Canis lupus familiaris: one gene and its partners. The protein of the gene in region 5 interacts with the protein of the main gene of each other region in a biochemical or structural test. Links are inferred from orthologs where the notes say so. Each region holds a gene or a part of one and is shown on either strand. Other genes may lie near its edges.

Region 1 (5,354 bases), about 45 Mb from region 5:
GCCCGCCCCGACCTATGTCAACACCGGGGGTAGGACAAGCCTAGACTAGAGGGCAAGAGTCAGAGCCCTGACTGCAGTGCTTCTTCTTTCTATAGTGACCAAGACCATCTGTGCCCCTCAGTGTAATGGTCATTGCTTTGGGCCCAACCCCAACCAGTGCTGCCATGATGAGTGTGCAGGGGGCTGCTCAGGCCCTCAGGATACAGACTGCTTTGTATGTACCACTGTTTGCCTGGTTCTGAAGTGGGGATGTGGGCTTTGGGGAGGAAGTAGGAATACTTACATAATGTGAGTTTTATGAATTTCCTATGTTCCTAGGCCTGCCGACTCTTCAATGACAGCGGGGCCTGTGTGCGCCAGTGTCCACAGCCTCTGGTCTACAACAAGCTAACTTTCCAGCTGGAACCCAATCCCCACACCAAGTATCAGTATGGTGGAGTTTGTGTAGCCAGCTGTCCCCGTAAGTGTCTAAGAAGAGGAACAATGATAGTAGAGCCAGGGTTTTAGAAAAAATTTTAGGAGATATAGGGATCAAGTTGGGTGGTAGAGGATGTAGGTTGTAATCTAATCACCTCCGGTGAATCCTCTCCCCACTGTCCTGTCTACTTCCCATGATTTCTAGCAACTGCTCCTAGTTCTGCAACAAAGAGCAAAGAGCTTTTCTCAGCCATAGGACAGCGTTTAAGGAACCTTGGGTGGTGGTTTGGGACAGATCCAGCACAGAGCAGGAGGGAGCAAGGTTCAGTTGCTCGTTGGCAGTGTTCCTCTCTTGTCTCTCATGGTGCCCTCCTCTCCCTAGATAACTTTGTGGTCGATCAAACGTCTTGTGTCCGGGCCTGTCCTCCTGACAAGATGGAAGTAGATAAAAATGGACTCAAGATGTGTGAACCTTGTGGGGGGCTGTGCCCCAAAGGTGAGTAGGAGATGGTGAAGAGCTGGTGAAGAGAACTTCCTTTCCCCAGAGACCAATCAGGCTCCACCCACTGAGCCTCTTTTGTGTTTGCAGCCTGTGAGGGGACAGGCTCCGGGAGCCGCTTCCAGACTGTGGACTCGAGCAACATTGATGGATTTGTGAACTGCACCAAGATCCTGGGCAACCTGGACTTTCTGATCACTGGCCTCAATGGGTTAGACTCTGCATTCCCTCTCTAACCCCCACTCCATCCATCCTCTCACGGTTCATTGCATTTGGCTCAACCCTTCATATGTGCAGCTGATTAGGAATACGAATCACAGGGGCACCTGGGTGGCTCAGTCGGTTAAGCGTCTGACTCTTGGTTCCAGCTAAGGTCGTGATCCAGGTGTCGTGAGATCAAGCCCCGCATCCTGCTCTGTGCTTAGTGTGGAGTGTCCTTGAGATCCTCTCCCCCTGCCTCTGCTCCTCCCCCTGCTTGCTCTCTCTCTCTCTCTCAAAATAAATAAAAATCATTAAAAATAAAAAAAATAAAAGGAATATAAATCATGAAATTTTAAAGGTTACACAGTACCTGACCATTCCTAACTCTGTCTGCCACCCAGGACTTGAATCCCTTGAGACCCCCCCCAAGGAATCTGATAACTGTCTCACTGCACGGCAGTGGACAAAGAAATTGTGTTCTCCTACTACTTTTTTTGTTTTTTGTTTTCAGATTTTATTACATCTATCTATCTATCTAACCATTTATTTGATAGAGACAAGGAGGGGGAGCTACAGAGGGAGAGGGAAAAGCAGGTTCCCCCACTGAGTAGGGAGCCCAATGTGAGACTTGATCCTGGGATCCTGGGACTGTTACCCGAGGTGAAGGCAGACAGCCAGCTGACTGAGCCACCCAGGCACCCCTTTATGTAAGAGAGAGAGGAAGAAGGACGCCCGGGTGGCTCAGCGGTTTAGCACCTGCCTTCGGCCCAGGGCGTGATTCTGGAGTCTCAGGATCAAGTCCCACCTTGGCTCCCTGCATGGAGCCTGCTTCTCCCTCTGCCTGTGTCTCTGCCTCTCTCTCTCTGTGTCTCTCATGAATAAATTTTTAAAAATCCTTTAAAAAAGAGCGAGGGAGAGAGGGAATCCCAAGTGGGGCCATGTCAGGAGCACAGCCCCACGTGGAGGACCCTGAGATCATGACCTGAGCCGAAATCAGTCCAATGCCTAATGGACTGAGCCACCCAGGCGCCCCTTAAGATTTTTATCTTTAAGTTATCTCTATACCCAACGTGGGGCTTGAACTCAACCCTGAGACCACGAGTCGCATGCACCACTACTGAGCCAGCCAAGTGCCCCTGCCCGAATCAACTTACTTTAAGAAAGATTTTATTTATACACACACACACACACACGTGTGCACGCTTGTGCACGTGTGCGGGTGTGCAAGTTGGCGAAGAAGCACATGGGGAGGGAGAAGAAGGGGGAAAGAATCTCAAGCAGATTCCACGCTGAGCACAGAGCTGGCCTGGGGCTCCATCCCATGACCCTGGGATCAGGACCCCAGCTAAAACCAAGACTTGGATGCTCAGCCAACAGCCACTCAGGCGCCCCCTGAATCAATTTTTAAAAAAAATTTATTGATTTATTCATCAGACACACAGAGAGAGAGAGGCAGAGACACAGGCAGAGGGAGAAGCAGGCCCCATGCAGGGAGCCCGATGTGGGTCTCATCCTGGGACTCCAGGATCACTCCCTGAGCCAAAGGCAGAGGCCCAACTGCTGAGCCACCCAGGCATCCCCTGAATCAATTTTTTGATGAGAGTTGCCACATGATGATTTTTTAACTCCATTATTCCTTTTGCATTTATTTGTCGGCATTTTAGTGTTAGGAACAGTTTTCCTTTCCCATTGATTGATTGATTGGTACCTATTTCACTCAGTCCTTTATAATCTTTTACAGTTATTATTTTGGTGTTGATTTGTCTCTGTTCTGGCCACTGGGGGCTTCTTCAAGCCAGATCCCAGATTCTTTGTACCCTTCATTCTCTGAGCACTTACTTCCTTTTTTGCATAAGATGCTATAAACTCATGTTATATTTCTCCCGCCCTACTCATTTCTCCAAGGAGCCCTGTTTCCTTTTAGTGGAGGATGGTATTAGAATGAAGTTCTGGGCAGCCCGGGTGGCTCAGTGGTTTAGCGCCACCTTCAGCCCAGGGAGTGATCCTGGAGACCCGGGATAGTCTCACGTCGGGCTCCCCGCAGGGAGCCTGCTTCTCCCTCTGCCTGTGTCTCTGCCCCCCTCTCTCTCTATGTGTCTCTTATGAATAAATAAATAAAATCTTAAAAAGGAAAAAAGAAAGAAAAAAGAAACTTAAGTTCTGAGGCTAGGTGTGACTGGGTTGTACCTGTATCTTGTTGACTGGTTTTGACTGTTCTCTCCAGAGACCCCTGGCACAAGATCCCTGCCTTGGACCCTGAGAAGCTCAATGTCTTCCGGACAGTACGGGAGATCACAGGTGAGTGGGAAGAGAGGCTGCTACCCTTTCTGAGAGAAATGAGTGAACCACTGACACAAATTGGTGTATAACTAGTTACAAAGTCATGTCCCAAGTGATGGGAGAGGGGCCACTAGAACCTGAGAAGGCAAGAAGGGAAGACTCCTTCCCCGCTGACGCGCCTCTCTCCAACCCGTCAGGTTACCTGAACATCCAGTCCTGGCCTCCCCACATGCACAACTTCAGTGTCTTTTCCAACCTGACAACCATTGGGGGCAGAAGCCTATACAAGTGAGTAGTTAGGAGTGTGGTGGTGGTAGTACCTCCAGGCAATGAACCCTGTTTCTTAGGCATCTTTGAGTGAAGCACACGTGTTGTCTCAGCATGCCCAAAGGGCTGAGAGTTGGAAGGGGAATCTCTCTTCCCGGTCTGACTGGCCCAGAGCACATTGGTTAAATGAAAAGGAATCCACTGCATGGTCATTTTCCCCTGTGTAATCTCCCTTCTTACCTCGTTTCCTTGTTCTCAGCCGGGGTTTCTCTTTGCTGATCATGAAGAACTTGAATATAACATCTTTGGGCCTCCGATCTTTGAAAGAAATTAGTGCTGGGCGTATTTACATAAGTGCCAACAAGCAACTCTGCTACCACCATTCTCTGAACTGGACCAGGCTGCTTCGGGGGCCTCCAGAAGAGAGGCTGGACATCAAGCATAATCGGCCCCGCAGAGACTGCGGTGAGGGGAAGGGCCCAGAGGGTGGCCGGGAAAAAGAAGTCAGGGAGGAGAGGGTACAGTGTGTAAAAACTGTTCTGCTCAGGAGTAGGGATCAGAGGGTAGAGCCAAGGAGAGGGGTGTGTTAGGCTGGAGGCACTTAAGAGGAAGAGCTCAGCAGAAGGCACGTGAGGAGAGCTGACTCCTCCTGTCTCACCCCTTCCTTCCCAGTGGCAGAGGGCAAAGTGTGTGATCCCCTGTGCTCCTCTGGGGGATGCTGGGGCCCAGGTCCTGGTCAGTGCCTGTCCTGTCGAAACTACAGCCGAGGAGGTGTCTGTGTGACCCACTGCAACTTTCTAAATGGGTAACACTGAGGGGAGAGAGAGGCACGAAGGGGTGGGAGGATGGGGCCCTGGGATGGATGCAGCTATTCAGCTGGTACCTGAAAGCCTTTAGTCCACTTTCTTCCTTTTTTAAAAAATAATTATTTTAGAGGGCGGGGAGGGGTAGAGGGAGAGGGAGAGAGAACCCCAAGCTGACTCAAGCCCCGATGAGAGGCTTGATCTCACAACCCTGAGCTAACTGGACTCGAAACCAAGAGTTGGATGCTTAATTGACTGCATCACCTAGGCGCCCCTAGACAAGTTTCTGCATATGCCTGGGTGGGATCGAGCAAGGGGACCCTGTGGTTGGACATAAAGGTCAGGACTTATAAGTGACCCCTTCCCTTTACCCCCCACTGCAGGGAGCCTCGTGAGTTTGCCCATGAAGCTGAATGCTTCTCCTGCCACCCGGAGTGCCAACCCATGGAGGGGACTGCCACATGCAATGGCTCGGTACAGTAGCAACACCAGGATCTCTAAGGGAGGAAGAGCATGGGCAGTACTAGAAGGTCTTGAGAATGATAATGGCCAAATCACAAGGCCAGCACAAGGAGGCCAGATAACCCTAGGGTCTGTGGATGGAGCATCCTGAATCGCTGCGTTGGTCCTTGCTGGGATGGGTGAAGTTGGCCTTGGGATCCCATTCTTCCCAACCTTCTCTTCCACCCAGGGCTCTGATGCCTGTGCTCAGTGTGCCCATTTTCGAGATGGGCCGCACTGTGTGAGCAGCTGCCCCAATGGAGTCCTCGGTGCCAAGGGCCCCATCTACAAGTACCCAGACACTCACAATGAATGTCGGCCCTGCCACGAGAATTGCACCCAGGGGTCAGTGATGGGATAATAATGGGGGAGGGGGAAAACAAAAC
Region 2 (5,354 bases), on a different chromosome or scaffold from region 5:
AATGAGAAAAATAATCCTATTTTTCATTTGTTTTCTAGCTCATGACCTTGAATAAGCCACTTAACTGCTCACTAGCCCAGATTTTTCATTAAGTATATCATACTAAACTGAAGAAATTATTATACCCGTATCTTCCCTGATTAAAACTTCTATTATATATGGAATGCTTATTCACAACTACCTTTGCAACCAGTGTCATGATAAAAAGTATTTCATGCAAAATATCCTCTATTTAACCCCACCTAAGTGATTCTATATTCAAATTAAGAAAACAAACATTTCAGAGCTCATGGAATTGAGGTGGTGATTTATGAAAATGATTACTTGGAGACTTTTCTTTTCACTTACATATGTAACCGCAAAATTTATTCAGTTTTTAAAAATTTACATTTTCAGAATTCATTAAATGAAGAGTGGTACGTTTCTTATATTACCCGACCAGAGGCAGAAGCTGCTCTTAGAAAGATAAACCAGGTACTGTGCTAAAGTTTATTTTTAAGTAGTTATAAATATTGATGGAAGGAGAAAAAGGGAACTGGCTTTTATTGAGGACCACTTATGGGCTAGGAATTCTGCTAGGTGATATTCATGCTGTTATACTAGGGGGACCCATTAGTGACAGCTTTATACCTACCAGCATCCATAGCAATGATTCCTAGGATCTGGGAAAAATCTAAGTTAAGGCAGTCATTCAGTTGGCAGAATCTGAGAAGACTTTATTAACTAGAAAGGTCTGTCTTGTCATAGGAAGCATAGCCTTATCAAAAGGAGACTCTTTCCCCCAAACTTTGAACATCTTACTGATTCTATCTTCATTTTTAATACACAATTGTCATCTACACTGATGTGAAGGGGTCCATATGGAGAGAGACAGCAGAAACTTCATGCCCTTTCCCCTAGAAATTTCTAGTTTAACCAGATCTCCTGTGGTCTGGTAAGAACCATAACCTTAAATCTATATATCAGAGAAAGAAAAACAAAGATCCTTCATCTCTCAAGTCTTGAGTCTACAAGAATAGTTCTCAATCTTAGATGCACATTTAAATCACCTGGGGATCTTAAAAATTCTGATTCCTGGGTTTCACCTGGAGGGATTCTGATTTAGTTAGTTAGGTGTTTTGTGTGGGTTCTGGGAGTCTTCAAAACTCTAAATTCTAAATTCTGACTGAGAATGGGTCCACAGTTATATTTGTTGAATAGAAGATGTTCTGAATGGAATTTACTCAATTGAAATAAAAAGAACAAAGGAAAGCCATTATTGCAGATTGATGGCTATTTAAAACCATCATGATTTAATACACAAACGAGGGAGTAGTTTAAAGCTGCCTTACTAATTAATCCTATTTTAATATTAGATCTTTGTAATATTAATGTTATATAGCAATAATTTATGGAATAACATTTTAAAGTACAGGACAAATCACAACACTATTTTAGTAAACAGAAAAAAATGGTTAAGAATGCAAGATGGTCCACATTTATTTATGGTCAGGTGTTTTTTTTGTTTTTGTTTTGTTTTGTTTTGTTTTCTTTTTTTGGTCAGGTGGTTTAATGATGAATGTTTTACATGGAGATCACGAGGTTTTTAAATGGATGAATTTCATAGGCATTTGTGTGTTTTCTGACTTTGGCTATGAAAGAAAGGATTAGGGAATTAGCTCCCAGGAGTAGGAAAACAGATACTTAGTTAACCAATAAAGTCCTTATTTTGTCTGGCCCTTTATCCACTCAACCACTTATTATTTGTCTTATTACTACTGAAAAAACGATGTATCTTTCATCAAGGGACTTCAAAGAGGTCTCTGAAATTTGGAAATTTCTCTAATACAATCTTTGCTGCCTCTTGACAACCAAATCCATGGCACATGGGACTGTAACCGTTCAGGGAACTAAATGTTCACTGACTTGTCAACTGGTTACGTTTCTAGATCTTTAGAGGCTTGTCTACTGCTCTTACAGGCAACACAGACGGTGATATTTACTGAGGCACCTGGGTGGCTCAGTCAGTTATGCCCACTCTTGATTTCAGCTCTGGTCATGATCTCAGGGTCCTGGGATGAGCCCTGTGTTGGGCTCTGTGATCAGCAGGGAGTCTGCTTGAGGATTCTCTCTGCTTCTCCCTCTGCTCCTCCTCTTACTCATGCATGCACACTCATGTGCTTTCTCTCTCTAAAATAAATAGGTTTAAAAAACAATTAAAAAGGAAGTATTGACATTTGCTGCTCACATAATAACATGAATTTATTCTTTTAGGATGGCACTTTTCTGGTTAGAGACAGCTCTAAAAAAACAATAACTAATCCGTATGTCCTCATGGTGTTGTACAAGGATAAAGTTTATAACATCCAGATCCGTTATCAAGAGGAAAGCCAAGTTTACTTGTTGGGAACTGGACTCCGGGGGAAAGAGGTAAGAAATTTCAGTTGCAAAATTTCCTCAAATCCTCTGTTTATGCCATTTCACATACCTGTCAATATGGAACCTTACTGTAATATTCTTTGGGGATCCATACTGTATGGCACTGTTAGAGTTAAATTTCATTGGTGAAGTCCTTCCTTTACTGGAAGGAAATAAAACAAAATGACAGTAGCTACCTGTGCCATGGAGTCTTTCTTATGTCTTTTATTCCAAGTAGTCTAAAATCACACGTATAACTTATAAATTAAAAAAAATAATATTTGAATTTAAAAACTGATAGTGTCAAAGGTAAGTCATTTCTATCATTCACCTCTGTAACATAATTTTAATGTAAGATTGAAGTGTACTTATAAGGCTGTATTGACATTTAGAAAAGGGTAAAGAAACAAAAGCAAACCCAGAATTCTTGTTGTGGTGATTATTTAAATACTTGAGTCCTTTTTCACTTAAAAAAGAGGTTTGGCCAATGAAGGTGGCCAATCTGCCAGGGAATTTTTCCTCTGTTTAGCCAATGTTTATGCTAATTACTTTTTGGATGGCAATCAAAAAAGCTGCTTTTGCAAAGGAAACTAACAGCTAAACTTAGGCTCCAAACATATTTTTTAAGTTCAAAGTTCCAGGAGGAAGATCAGCTGAATCAAACATTTCCAGAATGAAAACCAGATAACTCTTAATTTCTACTTCACTCCAAATATTTTTAAGTTATGATTATGTAAATGAACAGGAAAAAAAACCCCACATGATTCTGATCAGATGTTTCAATCGCTGGTTCAGTGTGGATAGAGCTGCAAAGCTGCTATAGAGACAGAGATGTCTGCCCTCTAGAACTTCTGTTGGTCTGGTGTGAGAAACATAAGTAGAAACCATACATTGCAGCTGCCCTTGAAAGAGGCGCCAGCAGAGTAGTTTTGGAGGAAGTGCATATCCTTCCTGGGGTACCTATGTGATTTTGATCTATGTCTAGAGGGATGCATTTTTTTTTTTCCAGTCTGGCCATTAGGGATAAGATGATGAAGGCAATGGTTGCAAAGACTTGGCTGCAGAGACTTTGTGAATGTCAGGTGGCACTGAAGACATAGCAGAGGGATCATGAGGGAACCATTGTGCAATGCTATGGATATCAGCTCTAGACACTGGGACACTGACTTCCTGATTTCTTATACCTCATCACACTATTTGTGACTAAGAGTGAAGTAGGGATACAGAAACCAAAATAAAAAACACAGAGTAATCCTAAGGCAAATACACACACATATATATAGTCTTTATCCATAATTTGTTGCTGTTGATGAATTATTTTTTCAAAATTCTACAGCAGAAATCATTAAAATATTTGCGAAGTATTAAATATTTTTTCTTACCATCCTCATAACTTGTAGAGGTAGGATATAATGCAGGTAAAAAACAAAACAAAACAAAACAAAAAAACGAAAAAAACCTGAGGGTTAAATTCATGCTACTCATCCCAATGTTGATTTATCTCCTTATTTTGAATTTTTCAGGACTTTTTGTCTGTGTCAGATATTATAGACTACTTCAGGAAAATGCCACTTCTGCTCATTGATGGGAAAAACCGAGGCTCCAGATACCAGTGCACATTAACACATTCTGCAGGTTATCCCTAGCGAGTTAGGCAAGCAAATGAACCTTGCTCCTGCCTCTGTTGCCAGCATGGGAAGATCAATCAACCTTGGTGAACGGACAAACACTTAGGACTGAATCAAACCCCTCAACATGAACACAAGGTTTTGACCTTTCATATAAAAAAGTGTTTGAAATGAAGACTGTCAAATATATCATAATTTATTTATTCTTCTTCAATGTTTGTAAGCATGAGTAATACTGTTCACACTTGAAGTCTAGTAGTGCACTGTAATGATTCATTTAAAAAATGTGTATTTTGAAATATTCATTTCAAAGTACAGTAGTTTGCATAGCTACAGAAATAATTTGAGGCAAGATTAAAAACACTGAAACAGTAATAGTTTTTGATATCACATAAAACTGATTTTTTAATAGCTAAACCTTTGTTGTTAGTCAGAGGCAATCATCAGTTTTATATATATGATTTGAAAATTTCCAAATTTCACTTTCTTGGCAGCAATAATTTAAGAGGCTTAAAACTAGTTCATCCTTTCTTATTTGTTTCTTTTTTTTTGCTGGGGGCATATTTGTGTACTTTTTTATGAAAAGATAAATGCATGATGCGATAACTTCCTAGGATTAAAATTAATTTACCTTTTGCTTTACTTTTGTGTTCTTAAAACTATTGACTTTGTTTAGTCCATCCTATTATATTTTTGTTTTAAAGCAAATTTAAGCTGTTAATACCACAAGTAATCATTTTAAATTTAGAGATAAGGCTTTGGTGTCAAATATAGCTGGATGTAAGTTCATCACATCCCAACACCCACATTCCACCTCCCCTGCAACTCCCACAACTCCAAAAGCATTTCCAAGTGATGTCGATTTTATCCAAGTCTTCCAGCAAAGATGAAAGAGCAATGCATATACATAGAAAAATGTGACCAGACTTTCCTATTAGATGCCTTTCTTCTATCTCTTTTATCCCCTGACAACTCTACCATAAAGCCCTTCTCATTGTCATTCCTAAAAAGGCTTTATAAATCCTTTGAAGCAATACAGCTCTTTCCTTCAGCTTACTCATCCTACTTAGCAGACAGTAGTAGGTGTTCAGCACAACAAAACCAGGCATTTGGTTGTTGTTCTTCAAGTTTTCCCCTTTGGGGCTCTGTTATTATTCCACAAATTTTATTAACCACAAAAATTTTTGGCTTCTCTAGTTAATCTGCAAGTTTTCTGAGTGGCCAAAAATATCTTGCACCTTCATTTTCATAAGTTTATTAATAGAACATCAGAAGGGAGCTTAGAAGTTACCTGGTTAAAACTGATAACTTGCTAAGATAACAGGTATG
Region 3 (6,144 bases), on a different chromosome or scaffold from region 5:
GAATATCTTCTCCTCTGAAATGTACCCTCCATTTCATTTTCCCAACTCTGAAAAGAGTTGCCATGAGACTCCTCTTGGGAAACCCCAGGTTTTCCTAACCAAGGATAAATCTCCTTTCATGGCAAAAAAAAAATCCTTACTCTCACCTGAGTTGGGCTACTCCAGATAGACCCCATCATGCTCAGGGAAAACACAGTAGGTGTGTACTAGTAGCAAATTCTTTCACAAACAGCGTCTTCGATCCCTAATCGGACCCGACCGACGCCCCCCAACGCCAGCGCCCGGACTTACAACTTCGGGGAGCTGAAACTAGCTCTGCAGAGGTGGCAGCGCACAGTCAGCGGCGGAAAGAAACCTAAGTGGCCTGGGTCCCCCAAGGGTCAGCACACGCCGAGTCCCCGGAGCCCCGCACTTGGCCGGGAAGGAAACGCAAGCCTGCCAAGTCTCCATCCCACGTTCTTCCAGGAAGAAGCCAAAACGGCACGCGGGCAGCATCCTCGCTCTTCCCTGGTACTCCTCCTGGAGGGGCGGCGCTGCCTCCGTCACACCGTGCCCGGGCGCAACTCCCGAGCCTGCGGCGCTGCGTCGCCGGGTCAGACCTTCCCACGAGCCGCACGCCCGCGCCCCCTTTCCCGGATCGTTCAGCACCGCTGCGGCCACTTCTTTCCAGCACGCCCCAGCGGGCAACCTCCACGTGCCCGGGGAAGCTCCCAGAACGATCCAGAACCCCGCATGGTGCGGGGTGCGGAGGCCTCGAGCTCTAGGCACGCCCCCTCCGCCCGCTCCCCGGCGCGGGACACACTGCGGTCCGCAGCTGTCCGCGCCCTCTCGCCGCCAGGCCCTCGCGCAGGCGCCCTGCTACGCTCCGCGCCCGCGCCCCGGGAGTCCCCCGCGCATGCGCCGGTCCTGTTGCTTCAGCCCCGGTGACTAACTCCTCTTGCCCTCACTTGTCAAAGTTCACGACCTCGTTATGGCCCCCGCGGCGGCACTAACCGGTACTCGAACTCCTCGTCGTCGTATTTGTCCGAATAGTAAATCTGTTTGTGCGACATGATCACTCAGCCTGAGGACCGTCAGGCCCACTCCGGCAACCTCCAAACAACTCCCAGCAGCACGCGCTCCCACCCACTTTGGCCTAGCTTTCAAACACGCCGCCCGCGCTTCCTATTGGACCCCATGGTTTAAGGCGGGACTACTCCACCTTCAAGCCGCCGATTGGTTTAGATTTGCTTCTGTTCGAGTCCTTATTGGACCGCGCTGCTTACGTTAGTCAAGAATGAGCGTAGGGAAAAAATATGCCTCTAATTGGCTATTCCTGCCCCCGTGCGCGTTCTCGCATTGCCATTGGCTGATTCGGCAAAGTGGGACGGCTGAAGGAGGGACGCTGAGGTAGAGGGTCAGGGGTTAGTGAGGCCGGAAGTGAGTGCAATAAAGTTTCTTCAGGGAGGCCAGGCCGGGGAGAAAGTTGGAACGGCGACCTAAGGAGGCAGTGGCGTGATCCGGAACCAAATCGAGCCGCGGTGCGGTGCGGAGACTCCATGAGGCCCTGGTGAGTTAGGTCTTCTCCCTCTCCTAAGGTGACCCATTCCTCCACCCCGGAACCCCTCTCCCGGGACCCTACTTCCGGTCTTCATGTGCAAGTCCCGCCCCCTGAGACCCCCCTCCCCGGAAGTCCCACCCCCATCTTCAGGGGGCTCCCCGAACCCCGACTTGTTTTCTGTGTATTGTCCACGACCCCACCCTGCTGCCCAGCTTTCCTGGAAGTCCCACCCCCGAACATGCTTCCAAGTCCGACTGTGAGAAACCTGACGGTAGTTCTCTGAGTTCCGATTCTTCGCCTTCTGGCGACGGGTCCCCCAGGAGGCCAGAGCCCCGCCCCTCCGAGGCCCGGCCGAGTGCCGGCAGCCCCGCCCCAGAGGCTACGCCTTCCGAGAGGCCCCGCCCCCCGCCTGATGGCGTCGGGCGGTGCTGTAGCCTCGCCTCTTACAGTGCCCGGTACCCGTGATGTGGGGCCCATTCCCCCTGGGCAGCGTCCAGAGTGGGGCGGGCTCCGCCCCTCGGAGCGCTGTGGTAGTCCCGAAGCCCCTTGCTGACACAGCTTCTCTTCTCCTTGGGCTTGGGGCTCAGCTCTGCGGAGCCAGTGCTTCTGCTCCAGCAGGTGGGGCGAGCCGGGCGAGGTCAGGGGCCGCCCTCCGCCTCCCTTGCCCCTCCCCCTGCCCCGCGGAGAGGGGCCTGGACTTGGGGTTTGGCGCCAAAGGGGCCGAGAGACTTGCTCCTGGGTTCCCAGCCCAGGACAGACTCCGCCCCAGAGACAGCTGTAGGGCTAGCACCCGCACCTCGGGAGCTGGTAGGGCCGTGAGGTTGGCGTGCAACCTGCGGGTGCACCAGGAGCTAGAGTGTCCTGCTGCCTGGAAACGGTGGCCTGGCGTGGGTGGAGGGGACAGTGGCCTTTTTGCTGTTTGAGTTTTTTTGTTTGTTTAGTTTTTTGGAAGGGACTCCCCAGCCCCCGCCGCTTCTTGGGCTCTTCCCCTCCCCCCCAAGCAGAGCTCTTGTCTGGGCATTCCTCCTGGTCCCGCTTGCCCAGCCTTCCCTTCTGGAAACATTCCTGAGGCTTTCGCCATTTCCTGCTACTTGCCTCCTCCTCCCCGCTGGGCTGAGAAGCCTGGAGCAGCTCCTCCCCACACACCCAGCCACACTGACTCCCTGTAGGCCATCTCCTTTCCTATGCAAATTTAAAGAGCCCGACTTCCTCCTTCTTTCCTTCCTAAGGCCCACACCTGTGGGCGGGTCCTCGCTTCTGGATTGTGCAGACGCCGGCAGGGGAGGACGTCCTGGCCTGTGTGCAGGGGCTGCAGAGGCCAGGGTAGAAGCCTTTCCTCCATCCCTTTAGGCCAGAGAGCTAAAGGCCAGGGGAGAGAGTTGAGCACAGTATCTAACACGATTTGAGTGTTAGTATTATTAGCTACTAGTTTGCATCTTTGTATCTTCTGCAGTTTAAGAATAGGTAATTCCAAGGTGAGCATAGAGGTTGTATTTATCTCTAGTGCTTTTTTGGTGACTTTGCCTCTTCCTTCAAGGTCCCCTCTAGTGGAGCTGGAAGCTGTGCAGAAGGGATGGGCCCCAGCCCGTCCCTGGCACCCCGGCTCAGATTTGTCTTCCTCTCCCTCTGTGCTTTCATGGCCTGTCCTTTCCTCTCCCCACTTCTCTTGGAGAACTGTTGTACTCTCCCACCTCCTCCAGTGAGACTCTACCCCTGGTGTTGGGTGCACTGTGCTCCCTGGGCACACCTAACCTTCTCCACTTAAGAGAAGGAGTATGAACATGCCTGGCAGGACCAGGAAGCCAACCCTTGTGTCAGTGCCCTGTCACCTATGTGACCCAGGAAGCCGACCCCTGTGTCAGTACCCTGTCACCGAATTGCCCGTGACAGCCTGCTTTGCTAACTAGACCTGTGGGATGGGGTACAGAAGAGTGCTTGGCTGTGGGCTGCTGCCCCTGGCATGGTAGGTGCCAGCCATGGAGGGCAGGACTCCATCAGCCCGTCCCAGGCTCCAGTTCCTGCCTGAAGGTTCCCTGGTGCACCACCCAGGTTGGACTTTGTTCCCGTTACTTCTCCAGCTTCGTGCTTCCTCTTGGGCCTTCCCTGCGTCCACTGGGACCACTTGGATGCTTTCCTCTTCCCTTCACCACCTGTTCCCAGCTGTGGTAGCAGAGGGCGCTAATGGCCCAGGCTCCCCAGAGCCACCACCCCACGGTGTGATAGGGCTGGAGGAGGGGGGGCATTCCAGCAGGACAGGAACAGAAGTGCTGAGCTCAGGGGTCCCCTCCTTTCCACTCCCAGCTCCCTCTGTTTCCTGTCCCGGTCCCCCTACCCTCCCGCAGCTTCCTGCTCCCTGTGGCCTGCCCATGTCCTGTGTGGATGGATCCAGACCTCTTCTTATTTCCCTCCTTTCCTTCTCTTTCCCACATCCTTCCTTCCCACTCCACTTTACTCCTCCCCAGATTACTGGTGGTTTGTCTCGGGGCAGGGTGGGGGCACCGAGAGCTTTATCCCTGCCAGAGTTCTAGGCTGGGGCTGCTGTGGGGGCTTAGCCCCTTGGAGCCTGTGAGTCAGCACTGTCCTCGGGATTGGTCTCTGGCCTTCCCTCCCCGCCCCTGGGGAGGAGCCAGGCTGCTTCTGGTCCAGCCTGTTCTCTTCTCCGCCTGGGAAGAGGCTCCACGCTGGGCGGGGGATGGGGCCTGAAACTATCTGGGTCTGAGCCTGGGGCCGCTGGTGCCACTTGTCACTCTCCCTCCCCAGGATCCTTGAGATCCCTGGGCCATAGAATCCGAGCAGACTAAAGGCCTGGGGATGCCCCTTGCCTGGCCCCCTTGCCCTGACTGGCAGGGGGGCCAGGCTGGGCAGCAGCCTCCCTCTCACTGCAGCCATGGATCTCCTGCCCCCCAAGCCCAAGTACAATCCACTTCGGAATGAGTCTCTGTCATCGCTGGAGGAAGGGGCTTCAGGGTCCACCCCACCGGAGGAACTACCTTCCCCATCGGCCTCCTCCCTGGGGCCCATCCTGCCACCTCTGCCTGGGGATGAGAGTCCCACTACCCTGTGCTCCTTCTTCCCCCGGATGAGCAACCTGAAGCTGGCTAACCCAGCTGGGGAGCCAGGAAGGGCCTCTAAGGATGGGGAGGGGACTGGAGGGGCCGCCGTGCTGGACTCAGCCCCCCTGCCCCTCCTCCAGGACATGAACAAGCTGAGTGGAGGAGGCGGGCGCAGGACGCGGGTGGAAGGGGGCCAGCTGGGGGGCGAGGAGTGGACCCGCCACGGGAGCTTCGTCAATAAGCCCACACGGGGCTGGCTACATCCCAACGACAAAGTCATGGGACCTGGGGTTTCCTACTTGGTTCGGGTGAGTGAATGTCTCCCATTCGGTCCTCCCTGCTCCCTCCCAGACTCCTTCCTCTGCTCACTCCAGCTTTGCCGAGCTGGGAGCCTCTCGTTTTCTGCTCTTGCCGGTACCTCCCTTGGTTTCAGGATCGCTTCTCACACCTCTCTCTTCCCCTTTCTTATTCTGCGGCCCCTCCCATCCAGCTCTGCCTGGGCCCCTTACTTCTGGTGACTCCCCCACCCTGCCATGCTTAGCACAAAGCCCAGCACGTTGCCACCCTTAGTAAGTGTGGGAATGAGCGGTCCTGATTGTATCCTCCAGCCTCCTCCCTCTGGGGATGTCACCTTCCCCACCCCCCACCCCAGTGCCCATCACTGTCCTCGAGATCCTCTTCCCAGATGTCCAGGCCCTCCTGGCTTGCTCGATCCTCCGCCCCTCATTTCCTGTGGTCTGGCACATTGTGGGTGTAGCCGCAGGCTGTGGGCAAAACTTGGTCTTCACTCTTCAGAGTCAGCCTTTTGGCTAAGATCAAGTGTAGGAAGCACTCAGGGGAAAGGCCTGGGACTCTTTTTGTGGAGGGGGTGCTGACTCGTTACCTTCCTTTCCTCCTTTCAGTACATGGGCTGTGTGGAGGTCCTGCAGTCAATGCGTGCCTTGGACTTCAACACCCGCACCCAAGTCACCAGGTTAGTGGGGAGGGGGCAGACTGGGGATTCCTGAATTAATGAGGGGAGAGGGGGTACATAGGGGAGTGGGCTCCTGGATCAGTGAGTATAGGAGGGAGTGGGTCTTGGTCACTTGCTAGTGATGGCTTACCTTCAGGGATAAAGGATTGAGAGAAAGTTAGGGGAATCAGTCTAAGTCTGAATGAAAAGCAGCACCTCTCTGGTCTGGGACCTTCTTATTTATCCAGTCCTGTGTATGGTGGGAGAGGTGGCAGAGGCAGCTGGCAGCTGGAGCCTGAGTATAAAATGGGGTGGATGGAAGATTGCTGCTGCCTTTGGGATGGAATGGGACATTTGGTCGCTGGAAGTAGGTGGGGCCAGACTCACAGAGGCCCTAACCCAATCAGCCAGGAAGTGGCCTCTCCGTGTCATCAAATATTAAAGGCCTTTAATTCAATCCACCATGACAAAGAGCCTGGAGTGCCCCTGAAGTCTGGCCTGGTCTTCCCCTCCCCCTGCCCTGTGGCAGCCCCAGCTGAGTGGGAGGCAGGCTGTGGGTCTGAGGACCCCTTTCTCTCCAGGGAGGCCATCAGTCTGGT
Region 4 (5,860 bases), on a different chromosome or scaffold from region 5:
GCAGGACCTCTCACCGGACCCTCAGTTAAGCCCCTGCAGATTCTCATAATCTGGAGCTCCCTCTTCTTCTTCGTCATCGTCATCATCATCATCATCATTGTCCTCCACCTCCTGGGAGCTCAGGATGGCTGGGAGGGGAGGGAGGTCTTCGGCTCTCAGACCATCCCCCCTTCCCCAGATGGGCTCCCCAGGCTTGGAACCCAGGCTGGGGGTGGTTGCCCCACCCCCACCCCCCACCCCACCCTACCCCTGGCCAGCACACACCAGGGTCGGTCCCAGCCAAGGACGGCAGCTCCTGAGACACATTCACATACTCCCGGCTCCCATCTGCAGGGACGGATGAGAAAGGAGGCGGCCACGTGGAGGGTGAGAGAGCAGGACACTCAGAGAGGGGGTCACAGCAGGGTGAGGGAGGGAAGGGGGATTCCAGGGAGCCCCCCCCCCCCCCCCCCCCCCCGCCACTCACCCAGAGATGCATTTGCACTTTCCTTGCTCTCAGGGACGTTCACATAATCCTCCCCCGACTCCACTGTAGGAGAAGCAGGGCCCCCGGCACCGTCACCCAGAGGGCCGAGCACAGGCACCCACGGCATCCCCACTGGACTCCTGACAAGACCAGCCCCAAACTCCCACCCACAGACCTCAGAGGTCACCCCATAGCCAGCCCTGGGGGGGTCCCACAGAGGCCTGGGTGATGGAGAGAAGTAGGGTAACTTGGCCAGAACCGATGAGAAGGAGAGGAATTGTGGGAGAGAATGGACGGCAGACCCTGCCAGCATGTGCCCCAGGCTGGGGGTGAGGCTGGAGAACGGCTCAGAGCTGAGGCACCGGTGCCGCCGGCCAGGCCAGCCCTGCACCCCCAATCTCGTCCCAGTGCCCTCCAGGCCCTGGCGCTCGGCACCGTCTTGCCCTTTCATGCCGACTTGCTCCTCCACGAGGCCGTGGACAAGGCGGGCTCTGGAGCCAGAGCGCCCAGGTTCACGCCCGGCGCCAGCGCTCACAGTCGTGCAACCTCACAAGAGGTCCCTAACCTCTCTGGGCCTCGCTGTTCCCCCCAGTGTAAGAGGGTGAGCAGCAGCACCCCCTCCCAGGGGTGTCATGAGAACTAACGCAGAGAATATGGAAACAGGGCCTGTCCTACGGCAAGTGCCGCCGAGGGCCCGTTAAATAAATAACCCCTCGTGTCGTACAGTCGGGACAACCGAGGCGCAGGATGGGGAGACGTGGGCTCAACAGCACCTGGGAACCGTGACGTTTAATAAGTTAGTGCACCAGACACTCAGGAGGCAGGGAGTAGGCTCCCGACAACACTAGGCCTCATCCTGACGCCGCCTCTTGAGCTGTTTGATCAGAGGCGCCCAGTAAATATGGTGAAGGAGGGAAGGACAGGGGATGAACAAATGAAGGAAAAGAAGCCCTGGCACAGATGGCGAGTTGGCGATTGAGTTGGCAAATGGCACCGGATGGGCCGAACAGGTTTGGAGAATGAGGACAGGGCTGGAAAGCTAAGCTCGCCAGGCGCGGGAGGAAGCCTCCAACAGGCAGCGTGAGACCCACGCGAAGGGAGAAAAGCAGCTCAGAGGAAACCGAAACGATGCCGGAAGCAGAAGAAAACTTCCCAAAGCCCCTGCCGAAGAAGACAACCTATAAGATTTACAAGATGATGTGGCCTCCATGAGAAAGGAACAGAGGCCAAGAGAGAGCCTCCGGGTGGGAGAGACCGAAGAACAGAGGCCAGAAGAAGAGTGAATCAGAGAAAGGTCGCAAACAATAAAAGGGAAAGACCACGAAGAAGGAAAGAGGATGGGAAGGAAAGGAAATCAGGAGGTCGGAGTGGAAGTGCACCCTGAGGGACAGGCGTCCTAGAGAGAGGAGAGACTGCGGAGGGGCGGCCACAGGGACAGTCGCCCGGGAACTCACTGGAGAAGGCGCTGTCTCGGAGGCTGGGGTTGCTGGGCACCGGAGCCGGTGGGACCGCAGTGCCGGTGGCTGGCGTGCTGTCAGGAAGCACCTCCCTGAGGGGGAGTCGAGGGGCGGTGAGTGAGGACCCCCCTCCGGCCAGGGTCCCCACCAGCCCGCCCACCAGGCCACTCACAAGTAGCCCTCGTTGTGATACTCCTCCTCCTCGTCCTCGTCGTTGTCCTCGCAGGAGAGGTGCTCTGGGGTAACGACACAGCGATCAGGGCGCAGGCCAGGCCCCAGCCTCCCTGCAACCAGGGCCCCCGGGGCCCCAGACGCACCCTCGTTCTCGTAGCTCGCCACACTGTTGGCTTCGGAGAGAGAGCAAGAGGGAGACAGTCAGCTCAGAGGGGGTCTCGCCTCTGCCCAGCCCCAGCCGTCTGAGCCCGGCTCCACACTTACCACCATCTGAGTCCTGCCGGGAAGATGGCATGCGGTGGGAGCCCCCGGGGGGCTGTGGGGACCTCCTGGGAGTCAAAGGTCACAGGTTATGCTGGGGTGGGGCTCTGGGACAAGCGGATTGTCACAGGGAAGGGGACCCCCAATCTACAGAGGTGAGCCGGGTAAAGAGGGCGTTGTGAAGGGGGAGGATGCTACTTACGGGATGGGAAGCAGGTCCGGCTGGCTCAAGGGTGGGTAAGAGGTAACAGGCCCATAGGATGGGGCCGATGGCCAGGGCACAACTGTAGCTGAGGACACAGGACCAAGCACAAGGAGTGACTCCAGACATCTTGCCCCTACTCTCATTGAGGCCTCAAAGGATAGACTAGCCCCATGAAACCTCCTGTGCCCTGGACAGGCCCGAGGACACCCATCTCCCTCCCTAGTCCCAGATCAGGTCAAAGCCATGTGGGCAGCCACGGTGGAGGGAAGGCAGGAGGGGGGACCTGAACAAAGGCACACAATCTCTCATGCGCCAGGGACCCTCTCTCCTACACCCAAGGGAGGGGACCCTCCAGGTACTCACGAGGTCTTTTGATCACAATGCTACTTGGGGTCAAGCTGGCAAGAGAGACAGAGCTTGGTCAGGGGCAGGAGAGGCCCCAGCTCCCATCCCAGCCCCCAGGGTCACACAGGGTAGTGAGGGAGCCACACAGGGCCCATGGACAACTCACCTATCAGAGGCGGTGCTGTCATAAGAGCCTGGGGAAGAGAAGTCAGTGAGGCAGGAAGAGGGGTGGCGAGGGGAGAGGGTGGGAGCGCAGGGCTCTCAGGTCTCACACACGCAGGACAGAGGTAGGATAGAGCAAGGGGGTCAAGGAGGGCCGAAGATCCCCGAAGGCATGTCCTGAGAGCGGTGTTACCCGGCAGCCCGCACTCACCTGGCAGCTCTCGGCAGCGCACGCACAGCACTACGGCCAAGAGGGGCAGCAACAGGAGGCCCAGCATATAGGGGATCAGGACGACGGCCTCCATCTGCAGCAGAGCTTGGACCAGGCCTGGCTGCCTGCCGCCCAGCACGCTGAGCTGCGGCAGGGTGTGAGCTGGGCCAGCACGGGTGCGGGAACCCAGTGGGCACCAGCCTGGAAGCCTGACTGCGGGCCGGCTGTGCCCTCCTTGGGCACTCCTTGGACCCCCTGCCCCTTGCCGGGCCTCGCAGGGGTCGGCACTGCCTAGGGAAGACCCGTGATCCCAGGGCAGACCGACCAGGGTCTGGGCCGGAGTCTGGGGCGCCAGTCACCCCTGAGCGGCCCCCGCGCCCCAGCCCTACCTGCCCCTCGGCTAGGCGCCTGCCTCTCAGAGCCTGCCCGCCTGTGGCAGGAAGCTGTGGTGAGCCCCGGGTGAGGGCAGGAAATCATCGGGCTCAGCCGGCTGCCCCCGCCCCCTTCCCACCCCCACCCAGCCAGCGGGGAGGGGGAGGAAGAGGCCTTTGGAGCCACCCCTGGGTCCTCAGGAGGGGTCTGCTGGCCTCCGGGACAAAGAGCTATTCCTACCAGGGAAGGAGGGCAAGATAGTTACAGGCCACCCGACAGCCATGGCGTCCACAGCCAGGACTCAAGGGGGCAGCCAGGAGGGAGGCCCGGACGCTGGGAATCAAGGGGCACGGGGCAGTACCCACCCTACCTTACCCTGGCTGGCCTACCAAGAGGGGCAGGCTCGAGGGGAACCATGGGCGTGACTCACAGTCACACTGAGCTACTTCACTCCGCACTCTTTTTCACCCGGCCCAGGAGGGCAGGGATTTGCCCAAGGTCCCACACAAGTGACCCCATAGCCCCAGGAGTCCTGGGGCCAGAGTAGGGGCATCCCCTGCAGACAACCAGAGGTCAGTAACACCCACAGAGACTCAGGCAGGCACTCAGGGTCTGGCTACAAATTTTATTCAGTTACAAATAGCACCGAGCCCCTGGGGCTGCTCCAGGGGAGGGGAGTCCCCCTCCCAGACCCCCCAGAACCTCCCCACCCTGCCCTTGGCTGCTGCCTGTGTAGTGTGTGGGAGCCGGAACATGGCCCACAGCCACTCCTAGAAGCCAGGCCAGGCCGAGGGTTTGCGCCTGGGCACCTTCTGGGGTGGGCCTGGGGCCAGCTGCGGTACGTATGCAGGTTGGTGTGCGATGGTCCCTCAGATAAGCACACTGGACACAGGGACCCGGGTGGAGCGGCCTCGCTGGGGTACCACAATTCGGTCATCTGCAGGTCCAGCCTCACGCAGCAGACCTGCCGAGGGAGGGGTCAGAGCCAGGGCTGGATAAACAAAAAGACACAAAAACAGGGAGGGGACAGAAAGGCAGTGGAAAGTGGACAGGGCCAGCAGACCCACCAGAGCCATGAGCACAGTGGGATATCAGTTCGTTGGCCAGGCAGACCCAAAGCCGAATGAGGGAAGGGCTGTGGGCTCAGGGAAGCCAGGGACACGGGCTGGGACAGATGGACAAGCAGGCAGTATCCTGAAGTCGGCAAGGAGCCACGGGCGGACAAAGGGAAGGCCCCACTGACCCTGCACGTGCAGCTGGGCCCGCCGGCGGTCGCCCTCGATGAAGATGGCAGTGCCCAAGAAGGCTGCCCCACCCAGGGCCCCCACGAAGGCGCAGAGCATCAGCGAGAACTGCAGGGCACGGAACTCGGACAAGAAGGAGGGGGGCCAGCTCCGGCGGAGGCGGTCGGAGATCTGCAGAGAGACGAGTAAAGCAGTGCCAGGAGAATGAGCCACAGAGAGGGAGCCCCTGGACTCCAGAAGGACAGAGGTGTCAGGAGCCGGCAATGAGGGGCAGTCTGGAGGACTGGGGAAGGTCTTGTGGCCCCACTGTTCAAGGTGCAAACAAAACCCTGGATGCCCGGCTGAAGGTCCAAGGTGAGGGGTACCTAGCACACAACACACAAACACCCAACTGGGGTCAAACCTTCTATGTCGGCCCAAGCTCAGGCCGCTGCCTGCTGGCAGGTGCCAGGAATTCAGTGTCCCCGAGCCCCACCCCAGGCCCAGCTGAGGGGCAGTGCTCACCAGGCCGATGAGGTAGGGGCTCCCAGCATCACCCAGCAGGTGGGACAGCACAATCTGGAAGGCCTCAGCAGTGGAACGTCGTGTGGGGATCACCACGTACTGGGGAGAGGAGGGGCAGGGGGCAGAGGGCAAAGACAGGGCCAAGGCTCAGCCCAGGCTGAGACCAGAGGTGAACCCAGGTCAGGAGTATAAATGGGGCACACGCCCAAACTACAGGCCCATCTGGGGCTGACTGTGAAGTCAGTCTGGATTTGGGTTTTGGAAAAGGGGCACAGGCCACAGGGAAGGCAAGCGAGGCCTCCTGCCCCCAGTCCTTACTTCCGTCAGCCTCTGGGCCAACCCTGAGCGGCCCACCTACTCACCAACAGAATGTCAGCCACGATGGCCCAGTTCATGGACAGCAGTGTCTCTCCAATAAAGATGAAAATCTGAGGGGTTGGAGATGGGGAGACCGAGGTG
Region 5 (5,902 bases):
TCCACAGCAAGTAAGTAGCAGAGGCTGGGAGCCCAGAGCCTCCACAGGCCTTGACCCCAAAGTCCTCTGTGCTGTCTGGCACCCTCCCCTCACTCAGCCATGGCCAGGTTGGCTAGACAAACCATGGAGCTGAAGGTGAAAGGCCCCAGCAGGACAGCTGACTAAGAACACAGGAAGACAACTCTAGAGGAAGAGGGAAATGAAAGGGGAGGCTCTCAGTGAGCCCATCCATAGGCAATGGATCCACTAATCCAGAGGTTACAGGTGTCTAACTGTTCTGTATAGATCAATGTTTTTGTGATTTGTCCCACATAACCCACCACCTAGGCCCACATATACACAGGCAGTCCAAAGAATGTTGTTTGTGAGACTCGTGCTTTGTGAATAATCTTGGGAGCATGTTTAAAATATATCATCTGGCCTCCAGGTCAGAACTGGCTCTTCTGTTCTGGATGCCAAGAGCTACAAATCTTGTGTCACATCTCCTCCTGCTCCAGGATGGGCTGAGGCAGACACACATAGCCTCGGCTCCTTGAAAATATAAAAACATGATACCATGGAAATGCAGCTCGCTCCAAACTGCACGGAGGTGAACAAATGTTTAATTTCAAATTCTGTTATCTGCCCTATAAGTACAGCCCTTATGGGGATGGTCAGCTGGAAGTCTCACCTGAGAGAGGACACTCTGTCCAGGCCTCTCAATCGGGGCTCAGCCTGGCTGTTTCCATGGGGCTTCCCCAGCTATGAGTCTGGATATTGTAAGGACCTGATCTGGTGTACCTTTGCCTTATTCTTTTTTTTTTTTTTAAAGAGATTTTCTTTATTTATTCATGAGACACACACAGAGAGAGAGAGAGAGAGAAAGAGAGACATAGGCAGAGGGAGAAGCAGGCTCCCCACAAGAGGCCTGATGTAGAACTCAATCCTGGGAACCCAGGATCATGCCCTGAGCCGAAGGCAGGTGCTCAACCACTGAGCGACCCAGGCATCCCTGCCTTATTTTCATTTCTTGCCTACTGTTACCTTCATCTGTGTATAGATTCCTTTCCTCTTCTGTTTCTATTAGGTTTCTATAATAACAATAAACTTTTTATTTATTTTTTTTTTTTGCCTTTTCGAAACTAAAACACAATTGCTGTGAATCTTTTGTACAGAACACGGACCTGAACTTGTTCCTTAAATGGGAGCCTGGTAGGGGTGGGGTGGGAGGCCAACAGGAGGGTGGGCTGCCTCTTGGTTCTAGGGTCCCAAGAGGTAGGGATGAGGATGGGATGAGGATGGGATGAGGATGGGATGAGGGTGGGAGTGCAACCTATCAGCTGCTCAAGGAAGAGTCTGGTATTTACGGTGTGCCTGCTGTATACCTAAGCCCTGACAGCCTTACCTCCTTCCAAGTTGAAGGGACACCAGCTATCCACTGCCAGGAAGGCTTTTCTAATTCCTTTTCTACTTCCTCGATGCCCCCAGCCCAGCACAGTGCCTGGCATACAGCAGGTGCTCAATAAATAGTTCTTGCCGAATGAACCACCTACAGCCCTATGAAAGAGGTAAATTCCTACCCCCATGGCAAAAATGAGGACATTGAGGCTCAGAGAAGGTCAAGGCGGGACCGATACTGGAGTCCACTGGGCCCAGCCTCCCAGGAGGCCAAGCATGGGACATACCTGGAGTTGAGAAGTCCCTCTGTCCCTCCTCCCTGCTCAGTGGTGACACTGTTGGGGGCTTAGAAGGATGGTTCAGACCAGCACAAGACAGGCCCAGGGCTTCCAGAGCTCTAGGACTCTTTCCTTATGTAGGACCACCAGACACCTTTAGGCATCTGAGCTACCTCTGCCCTCAGACTGCCCCATCAGCTGCCCCCAGGAAAGCCCAGTAAACCTGCCATGAGCAGGTATCTCTCACTGCCTGTCTTTCTCTACAGCCATTGATTCAACATCAAATTCTCAAACTTGAAAGGATTTGGTTCAAAGAGAGAGGAACATGTTGTCTGGCGGCGGCGGGGGTGGGGGTGGCTTAAAAAGAGGACAGAGGATCCCACTTCTCAAAGGGAAGTCCCTTAGAACTGGAGTCAGCTGTATACTTAGGGGGTCTACAGAGTTTGCCAAGAGCTGAAGCCAGCAGGGCTTGTCAGGGGCATTAACCTGGACCCAAAGAGTCACAGTGACTCCCTGGTGCTGGTCCATCACCCAGATCACCCAGGCCAAGGCCTGAGCCAGCCACAGTTGGATTCAAACAAGAAAGTGGGCTGATTTTTCACCGAGGAGAGAGGGATACAGAGGAATGCCCCACTCAGATCCAGCCTGGCCTTGACTTGTCCTCCAATTCCCCATGGCTTAAAGCTTTGAGGGCTTCCCCACTTTGGGAGAGCAGACAAAAAAAAACATATGACTGGGAAAACCCGAAGGGAGTCCTTGATGTAAGCCACCCACCAGGCCTGCTTTTCCAGAACTCCTCTATCCCTGGGGACAGCTTCACTCACTCCACCTCCCAAAAAAAGGAGACTAGAAATCCTCCCTACTAATTCCTCCTCAGCAGGTCTGAAGGGTGACGAGCTGGGCTACTCCAGCGGATCCCCGGGGCTGGATTAGAATCCAGGCTGCCCTCTTAGCTATGTGACCTCTAACGGGTGACCTTACGTCTCTGAGCCTTCCTTCTCTTGAGATAAGATGACAATCATCCCTCAAGGAATTTACATTCGCAATAGGTTCTCAGCAAGTGCAGCTTATTAACGTGCAGGATGGGTCCCAGACTGCAGGTGCCCCAGGAGACTTACTGCAGCGGCGCACCAGCCAGGAAGGGAGCGCCGAGGCCGCAGCAAAGATTTAAAGAAGCTTCTGTAAAGAACCTTCTCCAGTGGAGGGAAGGGCAGGCTCAGCCTGCATCCGGGGAAACTCTAAGTGTCTGAACAAGAGCCACCGGTGCCTGGCCAGCAGCACCCGGGAGCCCGGCCTCCTGCGTGCGCAGGGGTGAGCGCCCGCCGTGCCTCCCGCCTCTAATGCTCCCCAACGCACCCAGGTCCTCCCCCAGTTCTGCATCTGCTCCGGCTGGCCCCGCGGGTCCCTCCGATGTGCCCCCCCACCCCGCCCCGCCTCCTGAGGCACCTGCCTCCCTAGAGCCCGGTTCACATCCAGGCGAACCCCCCACCCCGATGCCTTCCAGCCGGGCAAGGCCCGAGCCCTTGCCCGCCTGGACCCGGACCCTCTGCGGAGGCCACGGCCCTCCTGCTCCCCGACTGCCACCGGGGTCCTCTCCCTGCGGCCTCCCCCCATCTCAGTCCCCCCGGGGGGCCGCAGAGGGTGTGCAGCCCCTTCGGGTGGCGGCTGGGGCGCAGACCAAGGGGAGGCTGCAGGATCCAGGCGCCCCTGCCCAGCCCTGGGGCAGGCCCCTGCGTCCCCGGCCCTGCAGAGAGGGCGTCCCGCTCTGCTGACGCCGCCTTCCAGCGCAGGGCCTCGGGCTGCTGAGCTACCCTGGCAGCCTCTCCCGGCTCCTGCAACACCAGGCGTCCCCCACCCCTTCTCCCCTCCCGACCCTTCCTGCCATTGAGCTTAGAGGCCTCAGTCCACCACCACAGAGTTTCAGCCAGCTGTCTGCCCTCTCCTGGAAACCTGCGAGGGCCAGGCCTGCTTCCAGCATCTTTGGTCACCTCATGTATTTTGAGATTGTCTACATATCAGGTGCTCAATTAATACCTGCTCTCTGAATGGCTGAATCAGAGAATTGATGCTTTAATAAATCAGTCAACCCAGAGTTGGTCAGGTTTGTCCTCTGGCAAATGTGCTGAGTCTCCTGCACTAGCCATGAGTGCCGCACCACACTACAAGCATCCTGTGGTAAAACATTTGTTCCTTGGTCCATTCAAGATCGCACTGAGAAGGTAAACATTTTGTAGAGCACACCTCACAGCCAGAAATCCAAATGCCTCTCCACAGTGTCTGGATGGAGAATTGCTTGGCACCACAGCTTCCAGTCCTGCGTTGGCTGGCCACACCACCTGGCTTAGATATGGGACTTGCTCTTCAACAACTGTTTCTGTTTATCGCTGTGTTTTCTGAGGTTCTTTTCTTGATACTTTTGCCACCAAGACTTCCCACTCATAATAAAAACATTATACGTCGTGTTTGCCGGAGGATGTCTAAAATAAAAAGACACAAAACCATATTTTTTTGGTTTTCTGTCCATATTTTTGGACAGGAATTCCTACTGTCTACTCATTGGCTGGTGATATAGGGGGCTGTTTCTGAGGGATGAGCATTCTACTTCCCATCAGGGAGGTCTGTCATGTGTGAAATTTATTTTGCCTCTGGGCACCAGAAAGCCTCTGGGAAACTCCTTTCCTCTACTTTCTGATAACACAGGCTCTCCACAGATTGCCTCTGTGGGACGGAAGCACAGTCTTGACCACTTCTGATACCTCCAAGAGGCACAGAAGGGAAGTGACAAATCTGATTAGATAAGCCCCAGTAAGAACTGTGAAGTGGGTCAATCTTATTTCCAGAAGCTCTTTAAATCTTCCATCTCTAACTCCTGCCACATTCTAGGCTCCCCTTTCACTTCAGGGACCCAGTTCTGTCTCAGAGGAGGAAGCAGGATGTGAGGTGGTCCTGGCTAGCCTGAATGAGTTACCAGTCCCAGGAATCTTGGTGTTTAAAGAACTCCTTTAGGGAAAGCAATGTCACTCTTGTGGGCAAATTTAAGTACTGTTACCTCCAAGTTGGGTGGGGCGGGACACTTCACCCTCCCATGCCACACCACAGCCGCCTTTCCCTGTGGACAGGCCAAATACACAATGCGGTATTAGGGAGGACCCGAGGGGCCTTGGGAAGCTGCTTTTCCCTGTGATTAAGCAGTGTGTCTCAAGAGATACAGATGGAGGCACATAATTTCAAGGTGCTATTACTGCAAATGTTTAATCTTGTAAGCCATTTACTTTCTAGTGCCTACCCATGGTTGTGGCCACTGTGCCAGAGCCCTCTCATGGCTAGGTGGGGTGGGGTGGGGTGGATATTTGATATATTTAATAAGTGCTACAGACAGACAGTAGTCAAATAAAGTAGCTACTGTCAGAGCAGAGCCCTGGAGGGCCACTGCTGGGCCAGGCATTAACCCTTCATTTGCAGGATCCTGGGGAAGACTGGGAAGTCTGTGGGAGGTCCTGGGAAGGACCAGTGGAGGGATCTTTCAATATTCTAACAACCAATACTGCTGACCCATTGTGAACAGGCCAAATAGCCCTGAGCTCGTCTCCTCCACAGCCTCATCCCACCCTGCCCTCATATTTTTATTTTCCAATCTTTCAGCCAGAGGCTGTACCATCTCCTCATTTAGTGGCCCTCAGTGTGGAAATAGGTGTAGCCTAACCTAAGGTCTTTAGAGGCAAGCAGGGTCCAAGCCATACCCAGCTACGCATCAAAACCACCAAGGCAGGGCAACCCCAGTGGTTTAGCGCTGCCTTCGGCCTGGGATGTGTGATCCTGGAAACCGGGGATCGAGTCCCATGTCGGGCTCCCTGCATGGAGCCTGCTTCTCCCTCTGCCTGTGTCTCTGCCTCTCTCTCTGTGTCTGTCATAAATGAATAAAAAATCTTAAAAAAAAAAAAAAAACCACCAAGACAATGCTTAAAAATTCATAGCCTGGGCCATTGTACTTTATGACTACACAACCAGGCTTAGATGTCCCTGCCTTCCTCCTAACTCCAGGATTAGCAAGAAGCTCTGGGGCTCCATTGTCACAAATACCCATGAATTCTTTGAAGCAAATGGGAGCTAAGAGCCACTCACAATGGCCGTTTCCTCCTGATGCACGTGGTCAATGCCAGCAGCAACAACGTTGTGACCACGAGGATTCCCGCCACCGAGGCAGCGGCAAGGATGATGTTCCTCTGGAGAAAGTGCAGAAGCTGTGT

Evidence for each region.
Region 1: the proteins of ZAP70 (region 5) and ERBB3 form a complex in vitro, tested with the Homo sapiens proteins (2 studies listed by BioGRID and IntAct, with this or other methods). The link is inferred for Canis lupus familiaris from reciprocal best matches to the Homo sapiens genes ZAP70 and ERBB3.
Region 2: of the proteins of ZAP70 (region 5) and LCP2, one has a biochemical effect on the other in vitro, tested with the Homo sapiens proteins (2 studies listed by BioGRID). The link is inferred for Canis lupus familiaris from reciprocal best matches to the Homo sapiens genes ZAP70 and LCP2.
Region 3: of the proteins of ZAP70 (region 5) and SHC1, one has a biochemical effect on the other in vitro, tested with the Homo sapiens proteins (2 studies listed by BioGRID, with this or other methods). The link is inferred for Canis lupus familiaris from reciprocal best matches to the Homo sapiens genes ZAP70 and SHC1.
Region 4: of the proteins of ZAP70 (region 5) and LAT, one has a biochemical effect on the other in vitro, tested with the Homo sapiens proteins (2 studies listed by BioGRID). The link is inferred for Canis lupus familiaris from reciprocal best matches to the Homo sapiens genes ZAP70 and LAT.

What each region holds. Positions count from the first base shown.
Region 1 is NC_049231.1:764,285-769,638, forward strand, and holds part of ERBB3 (receptor tyrosine-protein kinase erbB-3), read left to right. Parts: intron 1-95; coding exon 96-214; intron 215-318; coding exon 319-460; intron 461-799; coding exon 800-913; intron 914-1,006; coding exon 1,007-1,127; intron 1,128-3,341; coding exon 3,342-3,415; intron 3,416-3,594; coding exon 3,595-3,685; intron 3,686-3,923; coding exon 3,924-4,129; intron 4,130-4,336; coding exon 4,337-4,469; intron 4,470-4,850; coding exon 4,851-4,941; intron 4,942-5,158; coding exon 5,159-5,313; intron 5,314-5,354. UniProt on the Homo sapiens protein: Tyrosine-protein kinase that plays an essential role as cell surface receptor for neuregulins.
Region 2 is NC_049225.1:42,542,830-42,548,183, forward strand, and holds the end of LCP2 (lymphocyte cytosolic protein 2), read left to right. Parts: intron 1-396; coding exon 397-474; intron 475-2,253; coding exon 2,254-2,409; intron 2,410-3,920; coding exon 3,921-4,043; 3' UTR 4,044-4,667; downstream 4,668-5,354. UniProt on the Homo sapiens protein: Adapter protein primarily involved in signaling pathways within T-cells, as well as other immune cells such as platelets, mast cells, and natural killer (NK) cells.
Region 3 is NC_049228.1:42,485,786-42,491,929, forward strand, and holds the start of SHC1 (SHC-transforming protein 1), read left to right. Parts: upstream 1-2,769; 5' UTR 2,770-4,427; coding exon 4,428-4,901; intron 4,902-5,495; coding exon 5,496-5,566; intron 5,567-6,126; coding exon 6,127-6,144. Other genes in the region: CKS1B (cyclin-dependent kinases regulatory subunit 1), read right to left, coding at 994-1,052. UniProt on the Homo sapiens protein: Signaling adapter that couples activated growth factor receptors to signaling pathways. Participates in a signaling cascade initiated by activated KIT and KITLG/SCF.
Region 4 is NC_049227.1:18,622,256-18,628,115, reverse strand, and holds the start of LAT (linker for activation of T-cells family member 1), read right to left. Parts: upstream 3,735-5,860; 5' UTR 3,376-3,734; coding exon 3,282-3,375; intron 3,103-3,281; coding exon 3,075-3,102; intron 2,962-3,074; coding exon 2,927-2,961; intron 2,649-2,926; coding exon 2,561-2,648; intron 2,427-2,560; coding exon 2,362-2,426; intron 2,271-2,361; coding exon 2,096-2,270; intron 2,016-2,095; coding exon 1,921-2,015; intron 530-1,920; coding exon 467-529; intron 328-466; coding exon 265-327; intron 129-264; coding exon 22-128; 3' UTR 20-21; exon of another isoform or gene 15-19; intron 1-14. Other genes in the region: SPNS1 (protein spinster homolog 1), read right to left, coding at 4,523-4,617, 4,897-5,068, 5,402-5,500, 5,764-5,829. UniProt on the Homo sapiens protein: Required for TCR (T-cell antigen receptor)- and pre-TCR-mediated signaling, both in mature T-cells and during their development.
Region 5 is NC_049231.1:45,972,138-45,978,039, forward strand, and holds the start of ZAP70 (tyrosine-protein kinase ZAP-70), read right to left. Parts: upstream 3,829-5,902; 5' UTR 3,690-3,828; intron 1-3,689. Other genes in the region: C10H2orf92 (uncharacterized protein C2orf92 homolog), read right to left, coding at 3,997-4,132, 5,778-5,902. UniProt on the Homo sapiens protein: Tyrosine kinase that plays an essential role in regulation of the adaptive immune response. Regulates motility, adhesion and cytokine expression of mature T-cells, as well as thymocyte development.